4 linked regions of the Oryza sativa Japonica Group genome follow. The protein of the gene in region 1 interacts with the protein of each later gene in a pairwise test. Links are inferred from orthologs where the notes say so. Each region holds a gene or a part of one and is shown in the gene's direction. Other genes may lie near its edges. The genes, in order: probable transcription factor FL, protein ABERRANT PANICLE ORGANIZATION 1, chromatin structure-remodeling complex protein SYD and ATP-dependent helicase BRM.

The links.
Region 2: the proteins of probable transcription factor FL (region 1) and protein ABERRANT PANICLE ORGANIZATION 1 interact in binary tests that used the Arabidopsis thaliana proteins (3 or more experiments, as listed by UniProt). The link is inferred for Oryza sativa Japonica Group from reciprocal best matches to the Arabidopsis thaliana genes LFY and UFO.
Region 3: the proteins of probable transcription factor FL (region 1) and chromatin structure-remodeling complex protein SYD interact in binary tests that used the Arabidopsis thaliana proteins (3 or more experiments, as listed by UniProt). The link is inferred for Oryza sativa Japonica Group from reciprocal best matches to the Arabidopsis thaliana genes LFY and SYD.
Region 4: the proteins of probable transcription factor FL (region 1) and ATP-dependent helicase BRM interact in binary tests that used the Arabidopsis thaliana proteins (3 or more experiments, as listed by UniProt). The link is inferred for Oryza sativa Japonica Group from reciprocal best matches to the Arabidopsis thaliana genes LFY and BRM.

What each region holds. Positions count from the first base shown.
Region 1 is NC_089038.1:30,688,956-30,694,566, reverse strand, and holds the start of probable transcription factor FL, read left to right. Parts: upstream 1-2,307; 5' UTR 2,308-2,539; coding exon 2,540-2,945; intron 2,946-3,161; coding exon 3,162-3,571; intron 3,572-5,126; coding exon 5,127-5,480; 3' UTR 5,481-5,611. UniProt on the Arabidopsis thaliana protein: Probable transcription factor that promotes early floral meristem identity in synergy with APETALA1.
Region 2 is NC_089040.1:28,343,944-28,348,858, reverse strand, and holds protein ABERRANT PANICLE ORGANIZATION 1, read left to right. Parts: upstream 1-1,757; 5' UTR 1,758-1,919; coding exon 1,920-2,623; intron 2,624-2,705; coding exon 2,706-3,291; 3' UTR 3,292-3,346; downstream 3,347-4,915. UniProt on the Arabidopsis thaliana protein: Component of SCF(ASK-cullin-F-box) E3 ubiquitin ligase complexes, which may mediate the ubiquitination and subsequent proteasomal degradation of target proteins. Considered as a meristem identity factor required for normal growth of the young floral meristem.
Region 3 is NC_089040.1:8,214,402-8,219,446, forward strand, and holds part of chromatin structure-remodeling complex protein SYD, read left to right. Parts: intron 1-1,018; coding exon 1,019-2,031; intron 2,032-2,120; coding exon 2,121-2,320; intron 2,321-2,740; coding exon 2,741-2,889; intron 2,890-3,003; coding exon 3,004-3,071; intron 3,072-3,148; coding exon 3,149-3,963; intron 3,964-4,218; coding exon 4,219-4,316; intron 4,317-4,418; coding exon 4,419-4,604; intron 4,605-5,045. UniProt on the Arabidopsis thaliana protein: Catalytic component of the chromatin structure-remodeling complex (RSC), which is involved in transcription regulation and nucleosome positioning.
Region 4 is NC_089036.1:758,766-763,810, reverse strand, and holds part of ATP-dependent helicase BRM, read left to right. Parts: coding exon 1-1,222; intron 1,223-1,519; coding exon 1,520-1,632; intron 1,633-1,836; coding exon 1,837-1,924; intron 1,925-2,042; coding exon 2,043-2,129; intron 2,130-2,265; coding exon 2,266-2,358; intron 2,359-2,469; coding exon 2,470-2,553; intron 2,554-2,868; coding exon 2,869-3,072; intron 3,073-3,259; coding exon 3,260-3,505; intron 3,506-3,598; coding exon 3,599-5,045. UniProt on the Arabidopsis thaliana protein: ATPase subunit of a multiprotein complex equivalent of the SWI/SNF complex that acts by remodeling the chromatin by catalyzing an ATP-dependent alteration in the structure of nucleosomal DNA.

The sequences.
Region 1 (5,611 bases):
TAGTGAAAAATCAAGGGTGTTGGCTCTCATACAAGAGCTAGATTATTACAAACTCCAAGACAAATACATTAAATGTATAAGTGAGAGACAGAGAAGAGAAGAAAATTATAGCCAACCTTATAGCTAATCTATTATATCTGTTGGCTTTAAAATGTGCTAATAGTAGGAAGTGAGCTGTACTATTATCCTTGCTCTCATACAACTGTCTCATGATTAAAAAACGTGGTAATTTTGCTATATATTAAAGTCCCCTGCTACCTTCATTTCTCCTTTTTACCGTCAACTATAAGGTAGAGGCTAAAGATAAGCGTCTCTTTGAGCTAATAGATAACTAATTCTCTCTTAACTAGAAAATCTCGATTGAATTATAGAAGCAACAAGCGAAATTGGAGTAGTCTAAATCGTAAACACGAAGTTATGAGAGAGCAATACGAGCGTTGTACCGTTAGGCAGAGTGGTTGAATGTCGTTTACCCCCAAAATATACTACCAATAGGTAGAGTTCCTTGCCTATGGTAGCTTTTAAATTCAAATGTAAAAAACACTCGATGCACTAGGCTCATTTCATTAATTAATGCTTTCGGACTCGACCGTGAACTATTCCTAGTGTTCTATCGAGCTAATTAATGACTAAGCAAACCAACCTTTGACACAATAGGAGAAACATCGGTAACTGACTACTCCCTCCATCCAAAAGTTTTAAGATATATTTTATTTTTTGGTTTTCTAAAAGTTTAAGTCCTATCCATATAGTCATTACTATGTGTTATATTAAATTTTTGAGCGGAGCCTAAGAAATCATTATACTTCAGTACTTATTGGTTACATGTTCATTGATTTTGTCACATAATGAATTAATTAATTACTCACTGGCCTTGGTCAAAAAGAAAATAGGTCTTGGACTTTTTGGATGGAGGGAGTAAAACCAAGAAATCCCCCGTCATTAATATGGTGATTAGGAGTAACTTTGTCATTTATGTTTTTCCCCGGCTAGATTGATCTGTGGTCATCCGTTGCACCGGCATCGATGATATTCCATAAAAAATCCAGAAAGAGAAACAAATATTTAATCATTGCTAAATGACAATTATACACCATGCACATTATTCTTTTTTACAATAAATATCACTCCATATTTCTACTACCGTTAATTGAAATAATTGTAAAAAAGATCTAAATCCTCCAATCAAATAAGACCAATGAATGCACCATAGTGAGACTTTAAAAGAAGAGAAATTTTACACTACATTTTTTAGAGTAAATTATATTAGCGGTACATAAATTTGTCAGGTGCGTGCAATTTAGTGTATGAACTTATAAAATGCTCGTCTCGTTTTGGTGCATGAATTTGTCTGGTATGTGCAAACTAAGACTAAAATGGTGCGACAAGACCGATTTTTCTTAGATTCCACTTTATCTTTCTTTGTTTCTGTCCCTTGCATCATTACTCAAATTTTTATTTTTTTATACAATCATTATGCCTTATTATATGTTTATCCTTCTTAGACTAATGTTTACATAGAGTTTAAATCAACCACAGAATCAACAAGATTAACCTTGCAGTGCGATTTTGACATTATTCGCACGCATCAAACAAGCTCGTGCACAGAAACGAGCGTTTTAGAAGTTCATGTACTAGATTGCACCAACCTGACAAGTTCGTGTACCGCTGATGCAATTTACTCTTTTGTTTATCTCAAAATACACAGTATCTAAAAGTATTAAGTTTTATATTAAAAAAATACGGTGTCTCTCGATACATTAATTATCCAGAATGGTAAAATAATTCTTAAAAAGTATATTTTCGCCCTCGGAATCAAAAACATTTTTGAGTTGCCCTAGCGTGGGGAAAATCTGCAGAATGACACGCTAATCTTCTGCCCCCACCGCTCACACGATTACATGGACAACCGCCACGTACGATAATTAAGGGCACAAGGCTACGGCCTCACCCGTGTTCACCGTGTACGCAACAACAGTACGCATGCAGGAGTATCTTTTTTCTTCGGAAGAGGAACAGTGACGCCGTTGCTACCTCCAAGGAGAGACGGGACGAAAAGATCGAAGGACACTTGAGACGTGCGCCACATTACAAATGCACGTACGCCGTGACAGGACAACACAATGTGTGGGTGTATTACTCCTATAAGGCTTACTGTGCCTACTTTTTATGTACCGGCACGTAATAGGGCTTACTAGAATCTAGACTATCAAATCGTGTGTGCTCTAGCGACGCATGCAGCTTTCTACAGGACAGGTCGTTTTCACGTAGTATCGATCGGTAGCTCGCTCCCTTCCTCCAAGTATTGGACAAAAACCAAAAGCTAGCGTGAATGCAGATACATCGATCCGGACCAATGCAACGAGCTATGGAGATTTGTCAAGTCAACCGCGTGCAGCAACTATAGCCCAACACTACAGTGGCCGCTATATAACGAGCCCAACGCGACGCACAGAGGTGTGTGGGCGAAACACAAGAAACAACCGGAGAAACCGAGCCCGGCCGACCGCAAGGACAGCAAGCTAGTAGCCATCCTCGCATGGATCCCAACGATGCCTTCTCGGCCGCGCACCCGTTCCGGTGGGACCTCGGCCCGCCGGCGCCGGCGCCCGTGCCACCACCGCCGCCACCACCGCCGCCGCCGCCGCCGGCTAACGTGCCCAGGGAGCTGGAGGAGCTGGTGGCAGGGTACGGCGTGCGGATGTCGACGGTGGCGCGGATCTCGGAGCTCGGGTTCACGGCGAGCACGCTCCTGGCCATGACGGAGCGCGAGCTCGACGACATGATGGCCGCGCTCGCCGGGCTGTTCCGCTGGGACCTGCTCCTCGGCGAGCGGTTCGGCCTCCGCGCCGCGCTGCGAGCCGAGCGCGGCCGCCTGATGTCGCTCGGCGGCCGCCACCATGGGCACCAGTCCGGGAGCACCGTGGACGGCGCCTCCCAGGAAGGTATCTTACGCATCGATCATACCACTATCTTTCTCCTCTTGTTTCATGTGATTACCGAACACGCTCGTGCGTATTAAGTGCGTACTGTGTGTTCTTGCGTGTGAATTGCGACGATGTCATCATGCATGCATGCAAAAGCTGATCGGTTAAATTCTTAACCATGTTCCTGTGCTTGTTCTGTACACGATGCTGTGATGCATGCATGCACGCGAACAGTGTTGTCCGACGAGCATGACATGGCGGGGAGCGGCGGCATGGGCGACGACGACAACGGCAGGAGGATGGTGACCGGCAAGAAGCAGGCGAAGAAGGGATCCGCGGCGAGGAAGGGCAAGAAGGCGAGGAGGAAGAAGGTGGACGACCTAAGGCTGGACATGCAGGAGGACGAGATGGACTGCTGCGACGAGGACGGCGGCGGCGGGTCGGAGTCGACGGAGTCGTCGGCCGGCGGCGGCGGCGGGGAGCGGCAGAGGGAGCATCCTTTCGTGGTGACGGAGCCCGGCGAGGTGGCGAGGGCCAAGAAGAACGGGCTGGACTACCTGTTCCATCTGTACGAGCAGTGCCGCCTCTTCCTGCTGCAGGTGCAATCCATGGCTAAGCTGCATGGACACAAGTCCCCAACCAAGGTACGCGTGATTTACGAGCATTACGTATCTTACGTACTCTATATCTTACGTACTCCTACCCTACTATGCTCGCGTTCTTGCATAAGCATGCAGACGTAAGACGATCTGAATAAGGGAACGTTCGTTCCTGGGCAATCTGGGGGATTGAGAGACAAAAGCATCTCGTTTTCCGTGCGCACGCTTCCCAAACTGCTAAACGGTGCGTTTTTTACAAAAAATTTCTATAGGAAAGTTGCTTTAAAAAATCATATTAATCCATTTTTGAAGTTTAAAATAGTTAATACTCAATTAATCATGTGCTAATGGCTCACCTCGTTTTGCGTATCTTCCCAATCTCCCCAATCTCCCCAATCCCCTTCTCCTCAAACACACCCTAAGACTACTGTCATCCCAACGGCTCGACTTGTTTATTGTTTATTACTCATTCACAGTTACTCCTATAAGTACTACTAGTAGGAGCAAATACATCGTGCTGCCGTCAGATATGGAGTAGGAGTATTCTGTTGGCCAGTCTTGAGTTAAAAAGGTGCGAAAGATTCATTATCATTGCATGGTAACAAACAGTTGATTACTAAAGCATCTAGTAAATAACTTGAGTATTTTCAATGCTTAAGTTTTCCGCCTATTCAAAACTTTTAGCATTGGCTCTTTGACTTAAAAGGGCGACAGTGTTTAAAATTTCTAGAAAATCAACTGTACAACGGGCAAAACCTTTTGAAAAACATTCGTAAAACAGCAGGAATGCTCACTTTCCTTCTGTAAGACTTGCTAGGGTGTTAATCTATTCTACCAATTCATGCTCACAGACGAGGAACACACATCACATGGTAACAGGATGCTCCCTGTTTCTGTCATACCGGTATTTCTGCCATGCACTCGTGCTCTCCCTGTTTCATTAGTCCCATGCATAGCCGTCCGTTCGCTTTGTTACAAGCAAACAGTGATTACGTAGTGGATGCTTCACGTACGCGGGTAGTAGAAGAATTCAGGAAGAGCTGGACACGAGCGCGTACGCCGATGCGCAGTAGTACCAAGTACCAACCTGAAAAAGAGTGCCGACGTGTCAGTTGCAGGTAGGCTGGCAAAGCCTGCGTTCCATGTGTTGTCTTGTCGGGCCCTAGCCATCAGCGTAGGCATGCATGGCAATGGAGCCACACCCCACAGCCATGGAGCCATATGGAGGTAGGGGGAGGAGGACGGCCACTTCCTCGGATTCCGTGGCGGCAATCCCTCGCACGTACGGCCATGTGAGCTCACCTGCCGCCGTGGATCAGGGCGCTCAGCTCGGAGACGGTGCAATGAAATGAATGCACGCACGGCCTGGTCGGGGTTCCAGGGTGATTGGATGGCTTTGCATCCCGTCCACTCACAGCCCGGACGGACCGGCTGCTGCATCGATGCGCTCCTGCGCCCCCAAGCAGCCGATCAGATCCGTGATCTCACTGTGCGACGCATGAGTCATGTGCACGAGCTAGCTGCACGCACACGCGAACGTCTCGGTGGTGAAACGCAATGAAATGGCCTTCATGCATCATGCATGTATGGGTGGATGCAGGTGACGAACCAGGTGTTCCGGTACGCGAAGAAGGTCGGGGCGAGCTACATCAACAAGCCCAAGATGCGGCACTACGTGCACTGCTACGCGCTGCACTGCCTGGACGAGGAGGCGTCGGACGCGCTGCGGCGCGCCTACAAGGCCCGCGGCGAGAACGTGGGGGCGTGGAGGCAGGCCTGCTACGCGCCGCTCGTCGACATCTCCGCGCGCCACGGATTCGACATCGACGCCGTCTTCGCCGCGCACCCGCGCCTCGCCATCTGGTACGTGCCCACCAGACTCCGCCAGCTCTGCCACCAGGCGCGGAGCAGCCACGCCGCCGCCGCCGCCGCGCTCCCGCCGCCCTTGTTCTAAGCTCGCCGGAGACTCTGCTGCTGTTCCCGCGCCGCCACGGCGCGTGGGAGTTTCCTGTGGTGTTGGGCCGTGTTTTCGTTGTAAGGCAGTTAGGTCGTTCTAAGCTATTCGATGGGCCGATCGAGGATGCG
Region 2 (4,915 bases), on another chromosome or scaffold:
TAAAATTTAAAAATAAAAGGTCTAAAAAATAAAAAAATTCATGTTGGAACGCATCATTCGAAGAACGTAATTAAGAATAGAAAAAAAATAGAGCATTTAGGCTTCTTATTTGATTTATATAGAAATTTCATAGGATTTAAATCCTATATGATTTTTTTCTATTTGGCCCTTTGATACAAAGAATTAAAGCTTTTCAGATCCTATGAAATTCCTATGGAATGGCTCATTGCATGTAGATTTAGGAGAAAACATAGCAAGAGCTTCAACTTCTTGAAAAATTTCCTTTGAGTTTATCTCTCTCATCTAATATAATTCCTGATTTTTCTTGTGGTCTAATCAAACAATTATTTTTATGTTTTTCTTGTGTTTTGCAATCCACTATTTTACATTTGCATTCCTGTTAGAATCATGTGTTTTTCCTATTCCTCCGTTTTTCTTAACCCTGCGATTCAAAGGGGCCTTTTATGTATGGACAAATCACGCAGAATTTCAAAATACATGAAGTTGTACTGGATATACTAGGGATTTAGTGTTCTTTTGAAACACAAATGTTGAAAAAACTTAGGGATATGCATTGAGCTTCTGAAAGGAAATCAAAACCATGAGGTTTGAGCTTATGTTTGAAATCCTTCAAAAAGTGGAGGAAAGAAAGGATTCCTATGAAAATTTTCTTGAAAGGAATCCTATGAAAATTTTCTAACCAAATCATTCAAACCATATGTCTCCCTAGCTAGGAAAATTTTCAATAGTATTTCAATCCTACAACTTTCCTTTAAAAACCCTTTGTTTCAAAAGAGCCTTTAATGGAGGGGAGGGGGGGGGGCAGAGAGAAGATGCGTTGGCCTCACCAAACACAGGATCATAAAAACGCATGAATGATCATAAAAACACAGAAATAGAAAAAAAAATACAGGTTTGGAGTACCCCTACCACTTCAAATCCTATGCAGGAAAACTGCATGAATCCGTTTAGATGGAGCGCAGGAAACACACAGGAATCAGTTCATAAGAGTGAAAGACACAAATGATATTTTTCCAATAGGTTGTACCTCATGTCAAAATTCCTATACTTTGAACCAATCCAAGGAATTTGGTAGGATTTTCGGATGGAAATTTCCTTTGATTCATAGGACCATGTATAAAAATTTTCCTTAGGATTGAGTTCCTTCAAATTTCTTACAAACCTGTCCCAAAGGAGCACTAAAATAAGATTTGAGCTCATATATAGTAAAAAAAATTTCCAATGGAAGTGATGCATATGATAACAGTCCATAGAAAATTGTCATGTTCATATCCTTTGTTCCAAAACACACTAGATATATATAGGAAAAAATCCTTCAAAATTCCTTTGTGGGCTCCTTTGGAACAATGTCCAACACTTTCAAAGGAATTTTAAAGAAAAATCCGAAGATATTTTTTGAGGAAATGATGAACACTGTCCAACAAATTGTTTAAAATCAACCACTGCCGTGTGCAAAAAATAAAAATAAAAATGCATAGAATAACAGATCAGAGCTGAGACAAACCAAAACCGGCGTTGCGCTACCCAGACAACAACAACAACATGTCAACAACTGCTACTCTACTCCATATCCAATCCTTTCCCCTCTCAAATTTAATTACGCAAGAACACACAGTCCATCGATATCCATCATCCATTTATATAACTGTTGCTTTGCTTAGATTGCGATTCTCAAATTTAATCATGAATTCTCATATATGCATACCTTTAGCTTTGGCATGGCTAGCCTCACATGAATTAATCCCTTGGCATCTCGAGTACAAGCTAGTACCACAGTTTCACTATCATTTGATCGCAGCTGCCGCTTCACAGCTGCCTCACTCCACTCCACTTCACCCTTGAAAATTTTCAGCTCACGCAGCTGCAGCTGACGACGCCGCGCGCCGACGACGACGACCATGATGAACCCTCGCCGGCTGCCGCCTCTGCCGTCGTCGACGTCGTCCGCCTCGGCAGCGGACGACATGGACCCGCGCGTGTGGCGCCGGCTGCCGCAGCCGCTGGTGGACCGCATCCTGGCGTGCCTCCCGACGCCGTCGTTCCTCCGCCTCCGCGCCGCCTGCCGCCGCTTCTACCACCTCCTCTTCTCCTCCCCGTTCCTCCACTCCCACCTCCTCCTCTCCCCTCACCTCCCCTTCTTCGCCTTCGTCGTCCCCGCCGCCGGCCACCTCCTCCTCCTCGACCCCACCGCCACCGCCTCCTGGTCCCGCCTCCCGCTCCCGCTCCCGCCCGTCGCCGGCGGCCCCGCCGCGTTCTCGCCCGCGGCCGCGTCCGCCGGCCTGCTCGCGTTCCTGTCCGACGCGTCGGGGCACAAGACGCTGCTGCTCGCCAACCCGATCACCCGCCTCCTCGCCGCGCTCCCCATCTCCCCGACCCCGCGCCTCTCCCCCACCGTCGGCCTCGCCGCCGGCCCGACCTCCATCATCGCCGTCGTGGCCGGGGACGACCTCGTGTCCCCCTTCGCCGTCAAGAACATCTCCGCCGACACGTTCGTCGCCGACGCCGCCTCCGTCCCGCCCTCCGGCTTCTGGGCTCCCAGCTCCCTGCTCCCTCGCCTCTCCTCCCTCGATCCCCGCGCCGGCATGGCCTTCGCCTCCGGCAGGTAAGCGCGCCGCGCCATTGATGACGCATGGGTAAATACTCTTGCACAGATTTGCTGATCTTGCCTTGGTTGTTGTTCTTAGGTTCTACTGCATGAGCTCGTCGCCGTTTGCGGTTCTGGTGTTCGACGTGGCGGAGAACGTATGGAGCAAGGTGCAGCCGCCGATGAGGCGGTTCCTGAGGTCGCCGGCGCTGGTGGAGCTCGGCGGCGGGAGGGAGGGAGCGGCGAGGGTGGCGCTGGTGTCGGCCGTCGAGAAGAGCCGTCTCAGCGTGCCCCGCAGCGTGCGCCTGTGGACGCTGCGCGGCGGCGGCGGCGGCGGCGGCGGTGGCGCGTGGACGGAGGTGGCGCGGATGCCGCCGGAGGTGCACGCGCAGTTCGCCGCGGCGGAGGGCGGGCGCGGGTTCGAGTGCGCGGCGCACGGCGACTACGTCGTGCTCGCGCCGCGCGGGCCCGTGGCGCAGGCGCCCACGAGCGCGCTCGTGTTCGACTCCCGCCGCGACGAGTGGCGGTGGGCGCCGCCGTGCCCGTACGTCGTCGTCGCGCACCACGGCGGCGCCGGCGCGGCGGGTTTCCGGGTGTTCGCGTACGAGCCCCGGCTGGCGACGCCGGCCATTGGCCTCCTCGACGCCACGGCGCCCGTCGCCTTGCATGGCATGCATGATGGTTAGGAGCATACTATGTGCTTTTTTGTGCATGCTGCCTGCATCAACTAATCAATTTGTTATGGCCTAGGGCATGCATACACATGTTCATGAGCAAGCTAGGTTTGTGGTGTATTAAAGTTGTTTCAGCAATGGGGATCATATGTTAATTTCTTATGAGCAATTAAGTGTGTTATATGATAGGTTAGGTATGAGAATTAGCATGATTCTAGCTAGTAGTATGTGCAAGTTAGTAGTATGTACTAGGTAGCTTAATTAATTAATTAGGTTGTATTTGTCATCTGAGTTGGTAGTGTGCTAGATTGACAGTGGTCTGAACTCTGAAGTGGTTTCATCTCTGTTAATTCAGAAAACACTAATAATTCAGAAAACCTACTGAAGGGTTTCTACTCAACAACTACTACTACTTTGATCTTGCCATGAGATCTGTTGAAGAATATTCATGCATGTGATTTTCTGAAGAGTGTTGATTTAGATGGTTTATCATGATCACATGAAGCCTACAACAGTATGTGATCATTTGAGTATGATCTTCTGGCCAGCATGACTTTGTCTGTTGAATCCACCTCAGATCGGTATATAGTTTCTCAGTTTGGATATGCATTTCTTCCATATATTTGCTTAATATTCACACATACTTATGTGTGTAGTTGCATCTTTCTTGTGAGTGAAATTAGTACGACCTCTATTAAATAAAGCTAGATACTCTGAAAAAGTAAGATGCCCAAACTTAGTTTATGTAGCGCCCTTGGTCGATCAAATTTTATGGCCAATCTTTTTTTTTTCTTTTGCAAGCTTACTCTAGCTAGAATTGTACTCCTAACATAGACATTGTATATATGTAAACATAGTTTTCCCGATCGATCGAGTTGTTGATTCAGTATATCATGCATCTCTGGGGAAGCAGTAACAAGCACCAGAGATATGGTGGTTCAGATCTTTAGCCACCCCCAACCAGGTTCTAATCACATCCATTTAATTTTAAAAATCATGTGTAAGTAATATACTGCTAGTATATATAGTATGTTCTAAAGATCTCAATAGGATTGTAGAAATCCCAAAGGAACTAAACTGCAAAACATGCTACGCACTGATTATTACAGTCATTTGGAACACACTACGAAGTGATCATGCATGCATGCATGAAACTGATGAAAGTAACTTGTGTATATTTCAGCAGACTCTGAATAAAAGAGCATATGTGTTTCAGAACCATGAAATTGTACGTCTTCTGTTTTTCTGTTGCAAAGTATGACTTCACTAGCTTGTAGAGTATACTCCATCGCACTAACTATCAAATTGCATTTTGACATATAACCATCCAGTAGCAAATATCTTCTGTACTATATATCTTCAGATACTGGACGCACTAGTGAATAAATTTTCGGAGAATATATCTAACATACGTACCATCTGGTCCTACGTTGCTCTATTCTGGGACGGAGGGAGTAGCTTATCTAACATGCATCCTGAATCAGCTAGGTTTGATAGATTTTGTTCGCTACTACTTCCGTTTTAAAATGTAGCTATTTATAATATTCACTTATACTAAAATAAAGCTATTTCTTCACTTACTTCATCTTTTCAACTAATCATAACCGTTCTTCATTTATTTTTTAACTATTTTTTT
Region 3 (5,045 bases), on another chromosome or scaffold:
AAGCTATATCAGGTGACTGCCTTGATGTTAATAAGGAATACTCCCTCCGTTCCAAAATGATCATCATATAGTTTTTTTGAGGTTATTCCTAAATGATTATCATATTTGTGTTCATTCATTAAGTCTATTCGTTATTTGTGCATTGAAGTAAATGGACATTGGTGCATGCATCCATGCACACAAGTATTTATAACCCACATGCAATATCTTGATTTGCTATTGGCTAGGAAATAGTGGGGATGGTGCATGCATCGAGTTTGTTGCTAGAGTAAATATAATATGAGAGAGTTATTAGCTTTTCTTGGTCTTGGTGTACCTATGAAATATGTAGATCAATTTGGAATGAAGAGAGTAACACATTATGCTAAGATGTATGATGTGGGAGGCGCTCATCCTCCAACCTTCTTATTGAACCGATGAAAAAAATTGAATAGTTGGAGAGAAGTAGGTGGAAGATAGCAGCAAGGGCACGGTAGACTGATAGAGAACTGAACTAAAGCAGCAAGGCGGGAGGAGCGAGCTACTTTTACTTAGCTGGCAATTGGCATGTTTGTAGTGTAATATTATGTATCATGACCTTCCATGACTCTGTGGACATAACAAATTTGCGGCCAATGTTTCTGGAACGCCTCCTTTAGCAACTTTTGCCTTGGACTGCATTCCTTGGGAATAAATCATGCGTGTAGTGTTTTGAAGCCATTGTGCTTTCTCTTGTCCGCGGAATTGTGAAACACATGATTTTCCAAGTATGGTCATCTTGTATATTTTTTCTTAATGTAGTGTTTGTCAGTTTACACACACTCGTGCGCGCGCACACACAAAAACACAAAAGTTACTCACACTGTGTCTCCTTACTGGTTGGTGTCACGTAATTTATCACAAATGTGATCTACCTTATTTGTTCGAAATACCAAGTGAAAAGGTGCTGTGTCGAAATAAAGTTTTATCTGATTTTTCATAATTTAGACCTTAATTTTTGCCTCCACAATTCCAAACTTCTATTAACATTTGTCAACAGGGCCATGGAGACTGTTGTAAGCCAACATGGAATAGATATGGATGCGTTGCGATCATCGAGAATCCCATTAGCTGGTGGTCCACAAGCAGGAGATTCTAGTGGTGCTATGCCTAAGGATAAGGAGATCATTGGCAGTCAACCTCCCATGGTTGGTACTGATGCATCCCAAAGTAGTGCGCATGCTGGATTATGGAATTTTCCATCAGGTAACCAAGTAAATCAACATGGTAATCTCAGCCACCTGTTTTGGATTTATGAGTTTGACCTGATGATGCATTGTATTATATTGTCAGGTTCAGCAGATATGGCACGTCACAGTGCATCTATTTCAGGCAGGGTCCCAGCAGGACCAAATAGGAGCGATGTTGCAGGAGCTGATATTCATCAAGGCTCCATGTCACAGAAGAGTGGAAGATCCTCTGGAATGGAAAGCCCTGCCAGTCTGCAAATAGAGGATACTAGATCTATGAATTCACATGATTCTTTGAAGTCAGATGAAAAAACAAGCAAAAAATCATCTTCTAAGAGAAAAAGAGTGGATCCAAAAGCAGCAGGGGACTTGCATTCTGAAGACAACTCAAAATCAGATGCCATGTCTACCGGACAAAATATTAGAAAGGGAAAACAGCCTGGCAAAGCTGGTACTCAGGGTCAACTTTCCAGGACAGTCGAACACGATCCATCACATACATTACAAGTTGGTAATGCTCAGGTGCCACCGTTACCCAGTGGTGCACCTTTCTTTAGGGCTCACCAGGAAGGACCATCAGCTTCTTCTGCAAGGACTATAGACAAGACTAAACCATCAAATCCATTCACAATGGCACAAATTTCAAATTTTGCTGAAGGACTAGCTTCTGGCAACATTCCTGCTGAGTTGCAGAAAAGTATATTGGGAGGAGCAAATCTACTTAATGCTAGTTTTGGCTGGAACCAGAATGCACAAGGTCCAGTTATGAAGAATACTCAAGGGTCTGTTCCCAACCTAATGAGACCTGGTGTTAATGTCGAAGGTACTTCAATTAAAAAAGAATTACATAATAGTCTCACTAGAGACATTGAAATTCAAAAATTTACCTTAATGATTGTGCTTATGCTACAGGGAAAGTTAACTTAGGATCACAAGGAACTTTTAATTCTATGTCTGCATCACAAATGGATTACCCCACAGTTCCTCCTTATGTGTCTTCTTCCTTTGGAGGTGGTCCACAGTATCTTGACAAAGGGAAAGACTTGACTTCAGGCAATACTGGCAGTGAACTAAATTCTTCTAAAGCTGGAGCTCAGCTGGGGATCATGCATGTACGACCTTTAGCTTAATTTTAAATATCCTTATGTTAAAAGCTTGTTCTTGCATGCTGTTTTCGAGACACTGTGACTTATATTTGGGGGAGAAATCCTTGTTAGTGAAATGCAAAAATCTTGTTCCTGTGCTCGCTTGTTCTAGATAAATTCCTCTGGGATATTTCCTTCTTTTTTATTTGTAGACATATTGCAACATATTTGGCAAACCATGAAGGGTGTGGTATTCATTTCCGTAAACTTCTTGTTGAACTTTGCACAAAAAGTATTGTTTGCACTTTAGTAAATCTCCTTCTGTAGCCAGTTTTAGAAACACTTTTGTTTGGTCATACAGTCATCTTTTCATTGATATGTGTATCTCCATTGGTTGACTTAATATTTTAGATGCATTTTGACACACAAATGCGGTATAACTTTCAGGGCAGTCCAATGCAAGAAAGGCACGGAATTGTCAGAGCACCTCAGAGAGCTGGTTCATCTCAAATGTCTCAAACCTCTCCCAGCATTCCATTCAAAGAGCAGCAGTTGAAGCAGCTCAGAGCGCAGTGCTTAGTATTTCTTGCATTTAGGTCTGCACACCCTTCCATATCCTAATTTGTGTCTTGTTCTTTGACAGAATACATCTATGCTTAATATTGAAACCTCATCTCTGTAGCACTCATATCGGCTGTACTTCCTTGTAGAAATAATCTGCAGCCCCGGAAGGTACATCTTGAAATTGCTTTAGGTGTTGGTCCCCCTGCTTCAGAAGGTAAAAACTAAGAATAGAGCAATATTGTGTGAGCTGTCTGCTTTGTCAGTCTTGATGAATCTATGCTTGAAAAACAGGTGGCAGTGCAGGTCAGAGAGGTAGTGAGAGCAGAATGGCTGATGGTTCTGGAAAGGAAAATGGAAACAGCCAGGAAAACCCTGCTATTTTTGGTAGGCAAAGTGATATTTCTAGACTTCAATCAACATCTACAGGCAGTGTTGCGGATGTTGATTCCGCATCAAAGGACCCAGAAATTGTTAAAAAGAAGATCAAGATAGCTGAACATGAGAAATCATTTGAAGCAGAAAATATCCAGCAAACCGTTCCTATACAGGGAACTGATTCTGAAATGCATTCTCAAGAAACGATATCTCCCATGCCATCTGGGCAACTGCATTACTTTCAGGGAGATACAAGAAAAACTACCCCTGAGATCTACAAGGCTGATGCAGAAAATTTGAATAGGAACTTAGGCTGGGTAGGAGGCCAGGGACCATCTCCTTTGGGTGGTAATAGGCATACTAGTATGGAAGTTGGCCTCTTGGCCAAAGATGAAGTGTCCAAAGAACCATTTGCAGTTTTGAGGCCTCATCATATGCCTGTTGATGGTAGCAACCACAATTTATCTGGAAAGGATCAAACTCCTGAGACAGCTGGCAATGAAATTGATAATGGTAGCCACATGGGAGAGATGATATTTGAGCGATCTGCAGATGAAGGAGACGAAGATCTTTCTGAGCAAGATGATTTACCATTATCTCCTCCGAAGTACACAATGACTGATAAATGGATTTTGGATCATCAGAAGAGAAGATATGAAGAAAACAAAAGGAAGGCATTAGAGTTACAGAAGGCACACAGGAGAATTTCAGCATCCTATGAGAAGCTAAAGGTCACTCCCTACTTTTCTCACTTTGAAATCCTGGAAATTGAAAAGCACACTTTTGAAATGTCACACGTCTATAAATTATTGTTTATGTTTCATGTATACAAGATTGTTTCCAAAGTACAGTCTTTTCCTCATGTGTTGTGATTTTTTTAATACAATGGACATCTCGATTTGGTGCACATGTGCATGTGTTATGCTACCATATTCAACACACTGTAAGTCTTAGTTGAAAACTTCAATTCCTTCTGTTTTCTTCAGGAAAATGTTAGTTCATCGGAGGATCTTTCTGCAAAAACAAAGAGTGTCATTGAATTGAAAAAGCTTCAACTTCTCCAACTTCAACGTCGTGTGCGCAGGTCTGCCTGTCATGGACACCATGAACTTTTAATTTCTCTTCCTACCAGACTTTATGTTTCTGTGGCTATATTTCCCCTGTTTTGATTTCTTCTATTTGGCAGTGAATTTTTGCAGGACTTTTTCAAGCCTAATACTACTGATTTGGACCGCATAAAATCAGTAAAGAAACATAGACATGGACGTCGTGTTAAACAGCTTGAAAAAATTGAACAGAAAATGAAGGAAGAAAGGCAAAAGAGAATTCGTGAGAGACAGAAGGAATTCTTTGCTGATATAGAGGCCCACAGGTTGGATTGAAATCACGACCCACTCCTTTATCTTTAGTTCTTCTTACTTTTAGCCAATGTTTTAAGTTATCTGTACCTGGTCTTTAAGTATTTTGTAGAATACATGTACTACCTAATAGTTTGGGGGTGTGTCTGTAATGCAGCTGCTTTCTAGGAATAGTACCGTTTTAATTTTCCTGTACAGGTTCTTTAGAGCAATGACTATAGAAGAAATAGTTTTCTAGAAGCTGCGCTCTGAACATTCCAGTTGCATAGCCATTCTAAGATTGCCCTTGCCCTTTATAAATTGAACCTGGCTAAGCTAAAACTGAAAGAAGTTGACCCAGGAGGAGTTGGTGGTTTACTGAAAAGAAACATATTTATACAAAATAGACCAGAATATTTGTTTCAACCAGCAATTACCTTGCAAGTTATGAGCTTAGTATGCTCATAGTTTATGCT
Region 4 (5,045 bases), on another chromosome or scaffold:
AACAAACCGTGAAAGATCTGCTACAAGCAGCGCTGATGAACATGGAAGACCTGTGGAGAGTGGTGGTATAGCTCCTGAAAGATCTTCCCTGTTGAAGGCGCCCTGTTTACCAAAGGTGGAGGTTTCTGCTCCAGAAGACAAAACTATTCCTGCTAGTGGTCCCATGCAAGTGATGAAAGCTTCACCCAAGGAACCTCTTAGAATTGGACCAGTTTCAATGCCTGAACAAACCAACACCACCCTGATTAAATCTGAGCAGGATCCAGAAAGGGGTATCCAGAGAACACCTGGGAGAAGTGATTACAATGGTGAAAGGGGGAAATCTTTGCCAGCAGAAAGTGGTTCAGCAGACGCTGAGCAGGCAAAAAGAGCTGCCTCATCAAGTAGCGTGCCTACTCCCAACAGAGATGTTTCAAGAAAATACCATGGGCCACTATTTGACTTTCCATCCTTTACCAGGAAACATGATTCCATGGTGTCTGCAAATTACAACAGTAATCTAGCACTCGGTTATGACGTGAAGGATTTGTTAGCTCAGGAAGGCATGATAGTTCTTGGCAAGAAACGGGAGGATAATTTAAAAAAGATCAGTGGCTTGCTTGCAATTAATCTAGAGAGGAAAAGGATCCAACCAGATCTTGTTTTAAGGCTGCAGATTGAAGAAAAGAAGCTGAAACTCCTTGAATTTCAGGCTCGTATGAGGGATGAAGTTGAACAGGAGCAACAAGAAATAATGGCAATGCCTGATAGGGTGTACAGAAAGTTTGTCAGACAATGTGAACGCCAGCGTGTTGAGCTTACAAGGCAAGTTCAGCAGATGCAGAAAGCCTCAAGAGAAAAGCAGCTCAAATCCATTTTCCAGTGGCGCAAGAAGCTTTTGGAGGCACACTGGGCCATTCGTGATGCACGGATTACTCGTAACCGAGGGGTAGCCAAGTACCATGAAAGGATGCTGAGGGAATTCTCAAAGAAAAAGGATGATGATCGAAACAAAAGAATGGAGGCACTGAAAAACAATGACGTGGAAAGATATCGTCAAATATTATTGGAACAACAAACCAGTGTTCCTGGCGATGCAGCTCAAAGATACAATGTTCTATCTTCTTTCTTGACCCAGACTGAGGAGTATCTCTATAAACTTGGAGGGAAAATAACTGCTGCCAAGAATCATCAGCAAGTTGAAGAGGCGGCAAATGCTGCTGCTGCTGCTGCCCGAGCACAGGTATGAGTATGACATTCTTTGCTCTGGAAAATGATAACGGCCTTTTCCCCATCCCTCTTTTGTTTCTTATTTATGGGTTGTGACGCAAACGATAAATGTTAGCACAAACTTTTTAATTTCGAGGTTGGGGGTACAGACAGTACACTGGCCAATACACTTCTTGCCTTGTGTTTATCTGTACCCTCATTCATCATTGCACTTATACACTACTGGTCCATAACTTTTAGCTGCACTGATGCATTCATTCCCCAAGTTTCATAGTCCTGTAGATAATTGAGCATACCACTTGTTTAATAGGGTCTTTCTGAAGAAGAAGTGAAGGCTGCTGCACAATGTGCTGGTCAGGAGGTTATGATAAGGAACACATTCTCTGAAATGAATGCGCCCAGGGAAAACACATCTGTTAATAAGTAAGTAATTATCTTATTTTCAATATTCATTTTGACAATTTATGTTTCTGATTCACTACAAGTAAAGTTTATATGTGCTTTTGACTCCTGTGAGTAAATTTGCTTCACTCTCTAATTTGGAGCTGCTAACTGTAGATCAATATGGGCATTTAGTGCACACTAGTTTTCAGCATAAATAAGCTTACACTTGCCGTATTATTTTAGGTACTACACATTGGCTCATGCTGTGAATGAGAGAGTTACAAGGCAGCCCTCACTGCTGCGAGCAGGAACGTTAAGGGACTACCAGCTGGTAGGCCATTTACCTTCAACTTAATTTTCTTATATGATATAATATATATTTAAAACATTTCAAGTCTATTTCCAACCACCAAAAAAAATCTACAATTTGATTTGTTGCCTATCCACAGGTGGGCCTTCAATGGATGCTTTCCTTGTACAATAATAAGTTGAATGGTATTTTGGCTGATGAGATGGGTCTTGGCAAGACCGTACAGGTGTGGATTTCTTATTCCGTTCTACCTGCTAGACTTTTGCTATTTCACAATATTTTCTTTTATTATCTCATTTGCCTCCCCATTTCCTTTTGCCCTGCTAGTAACATCTTTTTGTGGCCACCAATTGAATAAATAGGTTATGTCTCTGATTGCATACTTGATGGAATTTAAAGGGAATTATGGACCACATCTCATAATTGTACCGAATGCTGTCTTGGTCAACTGGAAGGTTCTATTTTCCTGTCCTTTACTCTGAGGAAATACTGTTTGTATCTATTTTATGATGGGGATATTTATTTTGAAACATAATTTTTTACTTGGATTTCTATTATTGATTTAGAGTGAATTGCTGAACTGGTTGCCATCTGCATCTTGCATCTTTTATGTTGGTGCAAAGGATCAACGTCAAAAATTATTCTCTCAGGCAAGTTTCTTCCGTTTTATAGCCTATTTTATGCTATATCTGGACTTATAATACTGCTTAGCATTTATAGAATTGAAAAGATTCACAATACCTTTCCCTCCTAGATCACTGTTTGATTAACAGTATTGTTATCACAAATGTTTCTTAAATACTTGGTGGTCCTAGTTATATTGTTTGATCCATATTCTGGAAGGATAACACTCGTAAATCATGTATTCTCTGACTTCGGAATCACCCGCTTACTAATGCATTATCTGATTTGGAACCACCTGCTCACGGATTTTGCTTCAATATTCTTTTTGATTAATCTTGCAGGAGGTTCTGGCTGTGAAATTCAATGTTCTTGTAACAACATATGAATTTGTTATGTATGACCGTTCCAAGCTTTCAAGAATTGATTGGAAGTACATTATTATTGATGAGGCCCAACGGATGAAGGACAGAGAGTCAGTCTTGGCGCGAGATCTTGATCGTTATCGTTGCCAACGGCGTTTGCTTCTCACTGGCACTCCTCTACAGGTAAGCATTAATAATAAATGTAACACAATCGTTCTACATTGTAACACAATCCCCTTTTCTTTTCCTGTGTCACGGAAGTTCCTTTTCTCTGGTCTGCCAATATTGTTAGGACCACATCAGCAAATGTTGTTTTATTTCTATAACACTTTAGGGCTATTATTTAATGCTTTTTATTCAATTCTTTCAGAATGATCTTAAGGAGCTTTGGTCCCTCCTAAATTTGTTGCTACCAGAAGTATTTGACAACCGTAAGGCATTTCAAGATTGGTTCTCAAAACCTTTTCAGAGAGATGTTCCTACACATAGTGAAGAAGAAGATGATTGGCTGGAAACTGAGAAAAAAGTAATTATTATTCATAGGCTGCATCAAATTTTGGAACCTTTTATGCTACGAAGGCGTGTTGAAGATGTTGAAGGCTCACTTCCAAGAAAGGTCGATTGTTCTGCCCTTGTCACACTCAGTGATGCTATTTGTCACTCAGCTCTTTTTGTTTGCTACATTGTTAACTCGTCATGTCATTTGCAGGAGTCAATTGTTTTGAGGTGCAGAATGTCTGGTATTCAAGGTGCTATATATGATTGGATAAAATCCACTGGCACCATCAGGGTTGATCCTGAAGATGAGAAAGCACGTATTCAGAGGAATGCAATGTACCAGGCTAAGACATATAAGAATCTCAATAACAAATGCATGGAGCTGAGGAAAGTTTGCAACCATCCATTGCTGTCATATCCTTTTATGAATTACTATGGAAAAGATTTTATAATCAGATCTTGTGGGAAGTTGTGGAATCTTGATAGGATTTTAATTAAGCTTCATAGGTCAGGTCACCGTGTACTCCTTTTCAGCACTATGACAAAACTTCTTGACATCCTGGAAGAATATTTGCAATGGAGGCAACTTGTTTACAGAAGAATTGATGGAACAACTAGCTTGGAAGATCGTGAATCAGCAATTGTTGACTTCAACAGGCCTAATTCTGATTGTTTTATATTCTTGCTTAGTATTCGGGCTGCTGGCAGGGGTCTGAATCTTCAGAGTGCAGACACTGTTGTAATTTATGACCCTGATCCGAATCCACAAAATGAAGAGCAAGCAGTTGCTAGGGCCCATCGTATAGGGCAGACTAGGGATGTAAAAGTTATTTACATGGAGGCTGTTGTTGATAACATCTCAAGTTATCAGAAAGAGGATGAGTTGAGGAATGGGGGAAGTGGAGATCTGGAGGATGATCTTGCGGGAAAGGACAGGTACATGGGTTCAATAGAAAGTCTCATCCGCAATAATATCCAACAGTACAAAATTGACATGGCAGATGAAGTCATTAATGCTGGTCGATTTGATCAAAGAACAACCCATGAGGAAAGGCGGATGACTTTGGAAACACTCCTGCATGATGAAGAGAGATATCAAGAAACTGTTCATGACGTTCCTTCACTACAGCAAGTTAACCGCATGATTGCTCGGACTGAAGAAGAAGTTGAGCTATTTGATCAGATGGATGAAGAATTTGATTGGACAGGAGATATGATGAAACACAATCAAGCTCCCAAGTGGCTCCGTGTTAGCTCCACGGAGCTTGATGCTGTTGTTGCGAGTTTATCCAAAAAGCCCTTGAGAAATATGGCGGCTGGGGGAATTTCTCTTGACACTAATGAAAAACTTGAGAAACGAAGGGGGCGACCTAAGGGGTCTGGGAAGTACTCCATCTACAGGGAGATTGATGATGACGATTTTGAGGAATCTGATGATGATTCTGAAGAGAGGAATACCTCATCTCTGCCTGAAGAAGGGGAAATAGGAGAATTTGAAGATGAAGAGGACAATGATGATTCAGTGCCTGATAATAAGGATCAATCAGAGGAAGAAGAGCCTATCAATGATGAAGGGTATGATTTTTCACATGGGATGGGACGCAGAAAAGCCCATAGATCTGAAGAAGCTGGTTCAACAGGATCTTCATCTGGTGGCC